2 linked regions of the Coturnix japonica genome follow. The protein of the gene in region 2 interacts with the protein of the main gene of each other region in a biochemical or structural test. Links are inferred from orthologs where the notes say so. Each region holds a gene or a part of one and is shown on either strand. Other genes may lie near its edges. The genes, in order: RCC1 and RANBP3.

What was found.
Region 1: the proteins of RANBP3 (region 2) and RCC1 form a complex in vitro, tested with the Homo sapiens proteins (2 studies listed by BioGRID). The link is inferred for Coturnix japonica from reciprocal best matches to the Homo sapiens genes RANBP3 and RCC1.

What each region holds. Positions count from the first base shown.
Region 1 is NC_029538.1:1,935,619-1,938,579, reverse strand, and holds the end of RCC1 (regulator of chromosome condensation), read right to left. Parts: coding exon 2,851-2,961; intron 2,625-2,850; coding exon 2,478-2,624; intron 2,238-2,477; coding exon 2,118-2,237; intron 1,813-2,117; coding exon 1,660-1,812; intron 1,167-1,659; coding exon 991-1,166; 3' UTR 561-990; downstream 1-560. UniProt on the Homo sapiens protein: Guanine-nucleotide releasing factor that promotes the exchange of Ran-bound GDP by GTP, and thereby plays an important role in RAN-mediated functions in nuclear import and mitosis.
Region 2 is NC_029543.1:271,998-276,277, forward strand, and holds the start of RANBP3 (ran-binding protein 3), read left to right. Parts: upstream 1-1,373; 5' UTR 1,374-1,484; coding exon 1,485-1,506; intron 1,507-4,280. UniProt on the Homo sapiens protein: Acts as a cofactor for XPO1/CRM1-mediated nuclear export, perhaps as export complex scaffolding protein. Bound to XPO1/CRM1, stabilizes the XPO1/CRM1-cargo interaction. In the absence of Ran-bound GTP prevents binding of XPO1/CRM1 to the nuclear pore complex.

The sequences.
Region 1 (2,961 bases), on a different chromosome or scaffold from region 2:
GGGTGAGCCCATGTTGATGGTGATTCGTAGGGAATGGGCTCCTTGCTTGGCAATAAGGGATGATGTCTGTGATGTCTGGGTCCAGACACAAACCTGCTCAGTGCTGCTGGGAGAGGAATAGAGCTTCATGCTCAGCCCTAATTGCACCTCTGAGCTCATCCCTCCCAGCCTAAAACGTGCAGAGCAAAGGGCTGCGGGCAGCAAACCCCACACAGCACCCAACCAAACCCCCAGCCCAAACTGCAGCCTCATTAAGGAACCTGCTCCTTAATTAACAACAAATAAACACCTCCATGATTCAACCCATCAGCTTCAACACTCAACTCCAGGCTCTTCCATTCTGCCCGAGCTCCCAGCGGTGTCAGGGACAGCACGGGGTGAGCAGGACCCCATAGGGACCCTCCCCTCCTCTCTGCCACCCTCAGCTCTGCTCCCACTGCTGCCATCCTGCGGCCGAACCCCACAGCTGCACACACACACACACTGCATCACTCAGCACTGAGACCCACAGAGCAGCCCCACAGAGCAGCCCATCCTGCACAGCACAGAGGGAAGCCCAGCACTTATCAAAACTTATTTATTCCAAACGCCTAGAGATTTTTTTTTCCCCTCCCCCCCTTCCCTCTCTTCTTCAATCAACCAAAATACTTTTTACATTTGCTTTAAAAAAGAAATTCAGCATCAGCTGCTGTACAGCTCCCAGCCTCCTGACCAGCCCCAAGCACACACAGCTTCCAATTCCCCCCCCCCCACCCCTCACTTATTCTTAAACTTAATGTATAAAATCCATCCTCGCAGCATCTCCCTTCCCAGTGCAGGTACCTGGAAGGCAACACAAAACAGAAGACGGGGCACCTGAGAAGACACCTCGGCCTTCCCCCATTGTGGTTTGGGAGACAGCAGAGCTGGGAAGCAGCTGCCCGAGGTGGGGCTGATGGCAGGAGGAGGCACCCGTGGGCTCCATGATCCCACTGCGCCCCAATGGAGCCATCAGCTCCGTGCCTTGTCCTTGACCAGCAGGGCTGTGTGTTGGCCTCCACTGGACACAGCCAGGACCAGGCGGTTCTCCAGTTGTTTCCCTGTCATCTCCACGGGGCTCCAGACGTCCTCCTCTTCGCCGGTGCCCAGCTGGTGGTTGGTGCCCATTCCCCACGCGAATGCTCGTCCTGCAAAGGAGGTGATGTGAGTTTGGGCTTTGGGTAGAAACAGCATCTGGAGCTGGGCAAAGGGGGGAACCAAAGGGTTCCAGAGGGGCAGGTTGAGGGGGGGAAGAGGAGGAAGGAGGCATCTGGGCCTCCCATAGAACACTGTTTCATTGCATGGACTGCCTTAAAGCCAGCAATGCAAACACGCCAACGTGCTGCCTGTGCTCACACCACAGCAAATCCTTCTTGCAGCTGCAGGCACTGCATACAGCCCACAAAGAGCTCCCATAGAAGCATGGCCACGGCTTAGTTCTCTGACCAGCCCCACTGGGCTCTGACAAACCCAGTCCAGTGCCCATAGAAACACATTGAGCAGCTGCTGCCTCTGGGCTGGTGCCACCTGGGGGCTGCAGCAGCATAGGGAACGAGCTGAGTCCCAACCCAGTGTGTGATGGAGCTCTGGGAAGGGATGGGCAGAGCCCTGGGAGAGGTAGATGAGGCCCCCAGCACTCACCATCACTGCTGACAGCATAGCCGACCGATGCACCACATGCAACAGAAGAGATGTTGGGGAGGTCTGGGATGACAGTGGGTGTGCTCTTCTCTTCTGCCCCTTCCCCGAGGCCCAGCCGGCCGTACTCAGCCCTGCCCAGGCTGTAGGCTTTACCTGGGGTACGACAGAGAGAGCAGGAGTGGTGAAGTGAGGAGGGCAGGGACCACAGGAGGCTGGAGGGCTGCAGACAGACCCCTCCTGGCCCAGGTCTGACCATGCAGGAGCTGGGAGCATCGCTCCTCCCTCCCACATCCCTCAGCAAACCATCAACTCTGGGCTCCCCAGTGAGATACAGAACTGTGGGGGGGACTCAGAGTATTTCAGCATTTCAACCTGACCCCAAATTCTCCCCCATAAGGGACTGGGATTCTAAGGAACCCCACTCTGCTTGGCAGCCCCTCCATCCCACCAATACTCACCCTCCGAGTCCACGCAGATGGTGTGGTGCTGCCCACCAGAGAACCCGACCCAGGACTTGGTGGAGTTCTTGAAGGACGTCAGGTTCTGTGGGGAGAAGCAGGGCTCGGTGCCCTGGGTCCCTGCAGGGTGAGATGCACAAAGCCGAGCACATCAGGTATGGGCACTAAGCCATCCTCACAGGGCTCTGACCCCACTCACACAGCCCAGCCCAGCAAATGAAGGGGTTGGGAACCAAACCCAGAGCCTCAAGCATGATTTTCCAGCTCCTGCAATGGGCACTGGGTATGCACAGTAGGATCAGGTCCATTCTGGAGCCCCACCAAAGTAGGGAGAACCGCAGGGATGCAAATGAAACTCACCCAGCTGGTGGTAGTTGGAGAGGCCGAACCCATAGATGTGTCCTTCCCGTGTGATGGCAAAGGTGAAGTAAGCCCCACAGAAAGCATCTTGGAAACGCATTTTGCCTTTGCTTCTGACAGGGACACGCTGGGGGACCAGCAGGCGCTCTGGGGATGAGAAACAAGGCATCAGAAGAGAGCTTATGATTTACACCCTTTTCCTCTCCTCTCAGTTGCAGATCACTGAATTTAAGCAACCAATTGACAAACAAGCCCTCGAACAGCCCAGGAAGAGACAGGGTGTCTCTGCTCCTCAGCAAAGCTCTGCCCAGAGCCCAATGACACAGCCTGCTTTCTGCAACCCCAATTGTTTCTGAGCCCCAAAACCACTCACGCAGCCCCTTCCGTCCTCCTCGGTTGGAGAAGAGTGCAGGCACCCTGCCCAGCTGGCCCTGCTCGCCACAGCCACACGTGAACAGCTCGCCATCCACTGTCAGCATCACCA
Region 2 (4,280 bases):
TACCAGAGAAGCACGAGCTCTAATTAGAACACGGATAAGGAACACACTGTGACCTGCTGGTTCTTAAGGTCTAGAGAGTGTAACTTTGGGAGGTAAATTCCTGCTAACTCACAACCCTGAACTAGGTCACACCACGCACTGTCAGTGCCGTGCGTTCATTAGGGAAGCACAGCACAGCAGTGCCCACAATTAAAGCTGCCCAACTCTTCCATGATAAGAGCTGCCATCTCTCACAGGTTCCACCAGCTTCCAGGCTGTGAAGCACAATGTTCTGCGATGGAGAAACGTACCAGAATACGTGCTTAAGTTCAAAATGTAATTACTGTTTTTTAGATACTCACATAACGGGTAATTATACTCACACCAATTCAGTAGTGTTTGCCTCAGTTTGTAGGACATGTCCGCTTTGGGACAGGCTTTAATTCCACACAAACTGGAGCAAATTCAGCCACATTGTGAATCTGTGCAAATGACGGTTCTTGTGTGATGAGACACGAGAACGTGCTCAGCTCCACGCTCTGCAGGTTGTGTGTAAAGAAACACATCACGCTCTGGGCACCGTGTGTGTTTGGACATCGCAGCTTCCAGCACTGACACCTGTGAGCTGCTCGGGGACGTGAAAATCACCATCAGACCTTGCCGAGCTGTTCAATATCCAGCTGTTATTGCTCAATACCCAGAAGAGGCCCCTCGTCACTTCTATAGGTGACAATGTCGGTCATGGCACTTTGCAGGCTGAGGGAGCTGGAAACAGAGCTGCTTCTACAGCTGGAGCTACTAACGCCCTGCTGGTAGGACTGCTGGTATTAGGGACTATTAGGAACTGCTGCTCCCAACATGGGAACCACCATCCCACCCATGCACGGCGAGCTCCAGGACTTCCCTACGTAAAGTGCGTAGGGTACGTAAAGTGCGTAGGGTACGTAAAGTACGTAGGATACGTAAAGTACGTAGGGTACGTAAAGTGCGTAGGGTACGTAAAGTACGTAGGGTACGTAAAGTGCGTAGAGTACGTAAAGTGTGTAGGGTACGTAAAGTGCGTAGGGTACGTAAAGTGCGTAGGGTACGTAAAGTGCGTAGGGTACGTAAGCGTAGGTCCTTGAGAATCACAGCGTGCCGTGCCACCACCCCCGGGGGCAGCTGTGCCCGCAGAGCGCACGGCTGCAGCCCTGTGTGCAGAGCCTGGGGTGGCAGCATCACGCACTGTACGGAGACACGTTGGTTGGAGCACGGAAAGCGCGGCGGGCCGCAATTCAAGCTCCTGCTGACAGAACCGCAGCGCCTCCAACCGGCGCGACCGCCCCAAAACGGAACCACGTGCCACACCCGGCCCGCCTCGCGCATGCGCGGACACATCCGCCATTATTGAGCGCCCTCCGCCCCGCCCGCCCGGCCGTTCACGCATGCGCAGAGCGGCCGTAAATTGGCCGGTAGTGGAGCCGTCCGGCCGCGCGATGCATCTCGGGAGTGATTGAGGAAGTAAAATGGCGGACCTGGCCAACGAAGGTGGGTACGGGCAGGGATAAGGATCAGGACAGGGATAGTGATAAGGATCGCGGCTGGGATCGGGGCGGGCGGCCGCTGCTGTGCGAGGCGCTGCCGGGACGGGCCCGGCTCCAGCTCCAGCCTCGCTCCGCGTCCCGCCCGGTCGGGTCCCGCGCTCCGCTCCGGGCCGCGCTCAGCGCAACGACTCCGTGCGGCCTCACGGCGCCCCGGGGAGCGGGCGGACAAAGGCGGCGCCGCCGGGACGCGCTGCGCTGCCCGCTGTGCTCCGCGCTCTGCTCCCCGCGGGGCCTCCAGCCGGGCCGGGCCCGCCGGCTCCATGGCGGCCCGCTCCGTTACCGCCCGGCCTGCGCTGTCCCCGCGGTCCCGGGGCTGCTCCGAGCGGGTCCTTGCTGTTACCGCTGCCGCTCCCTTTGATGCTGGGAGCCCTGGGGGCTGCGTGCGGCCGGACGAGGCGGAACAGGCGTTTCTTGGCTTAGAAACGTTGGGACTAAATTGCTGCGGAGATTCCAGAGCGCTGTGGGGCTGTGGGTGCAGCACGGGGGGGTTCGGCCCCGAGGGCTGCGGGCGCTGCTTAAATGGCAGCGGGCAGCAGCAGGTCGGGCAGCCCCCGCTGGGCCCAGCTCGGCCCGCAGCAGCCTGCAGCCGTTCTCCCAGTGCGGTGGGTGCAGCTCCATCCTCATCCGAACGGGAGGAGCTGAACGCAGTTTAGGAGCCAGAACGGACAGTGCTTCCATTCGGTGCTATTCCTGATGCTCAGGATTTCTGCCAGTGGTGTTTACAGCCCTGATGTTAACGTTAGACAGAAGGAAGTGTCTTTTGGGCAGGATCCCACCTGCAGCTGACCACAGTGTTACACCAAAAGCATTGGGTGGATCTTATGATGCAGCACACGTGGGGCTGTTGGCTCCCAAATTGAAGGGATGCTGTCAGTGCTACCTAAAGCAGAGGGAAACCTGCTGATGGCACCAGGGCTTGGGAGATGAAATAACACCTTCTCTGCCAACACAAGAGGTTTGTGCTTTAAAAATGGTATGAAATTTTCTAATTACTCCTGGGTATGTAAAAGGCACCATGTGCCCATAGCGGCTGTGGCAGCGCTTTGTAGAAGTTGCCTGTTCATATGATCAGAGACAAAAAGGGTTTGAAGATAAACCAGATTGTGTCACATGCTCTATGTCTTGAAAGCAGAGTCCTCAAAGTGAGGCAGCAGTATCTACAAATATATTTTTTCTCCCCTTTTCCCCCACCATCCTGTTGTAATTTATATTCACCATGACTTCATTGGTGAGCTCCGGGTATGAATGATCCAGTGTCATTAAGTATGATCGGACTTTGCTTGTGGGGTCTTTTTCAGTGATCAGCTGTTGGCTTCGTAGCTTTCTTCTTGCTTTCAGTCTATTCATAGCTATTGGAAGAGTCTGGTTTTGTTACCTGTCCCTTTGGAGTTCTATAAAACACAAATGCCCAGGTCTCTTCTTTAGCTTGTCCTTCAGGCCCAATTGTTCTGCCTTGGTTAACTTGGAGCAGTCTGTGTGTGTGGTTGTGTTCTCAAATCAGATATTATCTGCTTACCTGCATTCTTTTCCTTTGTAAGCTGTTGCCATCAAATATTCTTCAGCTGACGCAGATTTGGGTTCCACCACTTTTCTCTGCCATACTGCAGTATAAAGGGAACACCTGCAGTTATTTTCCAGGCCTGATGCCATATGGGCTTCTATACGTATATAATTCAGCTGCTATTTCATAGTTGATTTGAGTGGTACCAGAGCAGGCAGGAAGAGCAGACTGTGTGGTGAGGAAGTGGGGTTGCTGAGAAGATGATTATTGTCCATAGAACCAGCACTTCATTCTGTTTACAACTAACATCCTTCTTTTTTTTTCCCATTGATTTTATTTTCCAGATGTTTTGAATTCTCCTTTTTGCCCAAATCTGATGGAAGGGTAAAGAAAACCTTCTGAAACATCTACATAGCCATTTTTTTCCTTCTATCTATAGTGTGCTGATCTTACATCAAGCCTTAACAAGGATGCATGTTGCTGCTTCCTCATAGCCCATTCTGTAGGGATCCCCCCGGCCTTTTTCCCCCCTTGTGCTGTTTTTCAGGTGATTATCAGCTGGTTTTGCTGTTCATTTGTGCGTTGGCTTTACATTATTTTGGTGCTCATCCTGCTCCCACCAGCTGAGCTGAGGGAATTGAGCTCCATAAGGAAATATTTGCAGCGCTGTAGGTGCCTTCCATAATGGGTTCATAAAGGGACACGTTTCTGATATATGTGCACTCGGAATCTCCGTTGGGCTTTTCAGTCATGGGGCACTTTGTGCTGCACTGAAGGCTTAAATCTTTATTTCAGAAACCATGCCCAGCCCCTGTGGCTGTGTGGATGTCAGCTGTCACAGGGGTAAAATGAGGTCATGTTTTGTCTGCTTGGAGGGAACGTGGCTGACCTTGTAGCCTCAGAAACAGCTGAATGTAGTCACACATCAGAGTGAAAGAAATAAAAATCTCACTTAATAGAATACATGATTGAAGATGTGATACCTCTGAGCAATTGAGGCCCTGATTTGGTTTCCAAGGCCTGTGAAGTAAGGTGATGCTGTATCTGTATGTGTGGTAGTACATAAGGCATGTTTGGATGTTAACAGTGAAGTGGCTGATAGCTCTGTTTTGCTGTACATAAACCTTACTGTGCCTGGTGCAATGGAAGCACACTGAACATGGAAATGTGGCTTGTGCTTGCACTGGTCACTCATCCAGTGCAAGCTGGTAAATGCT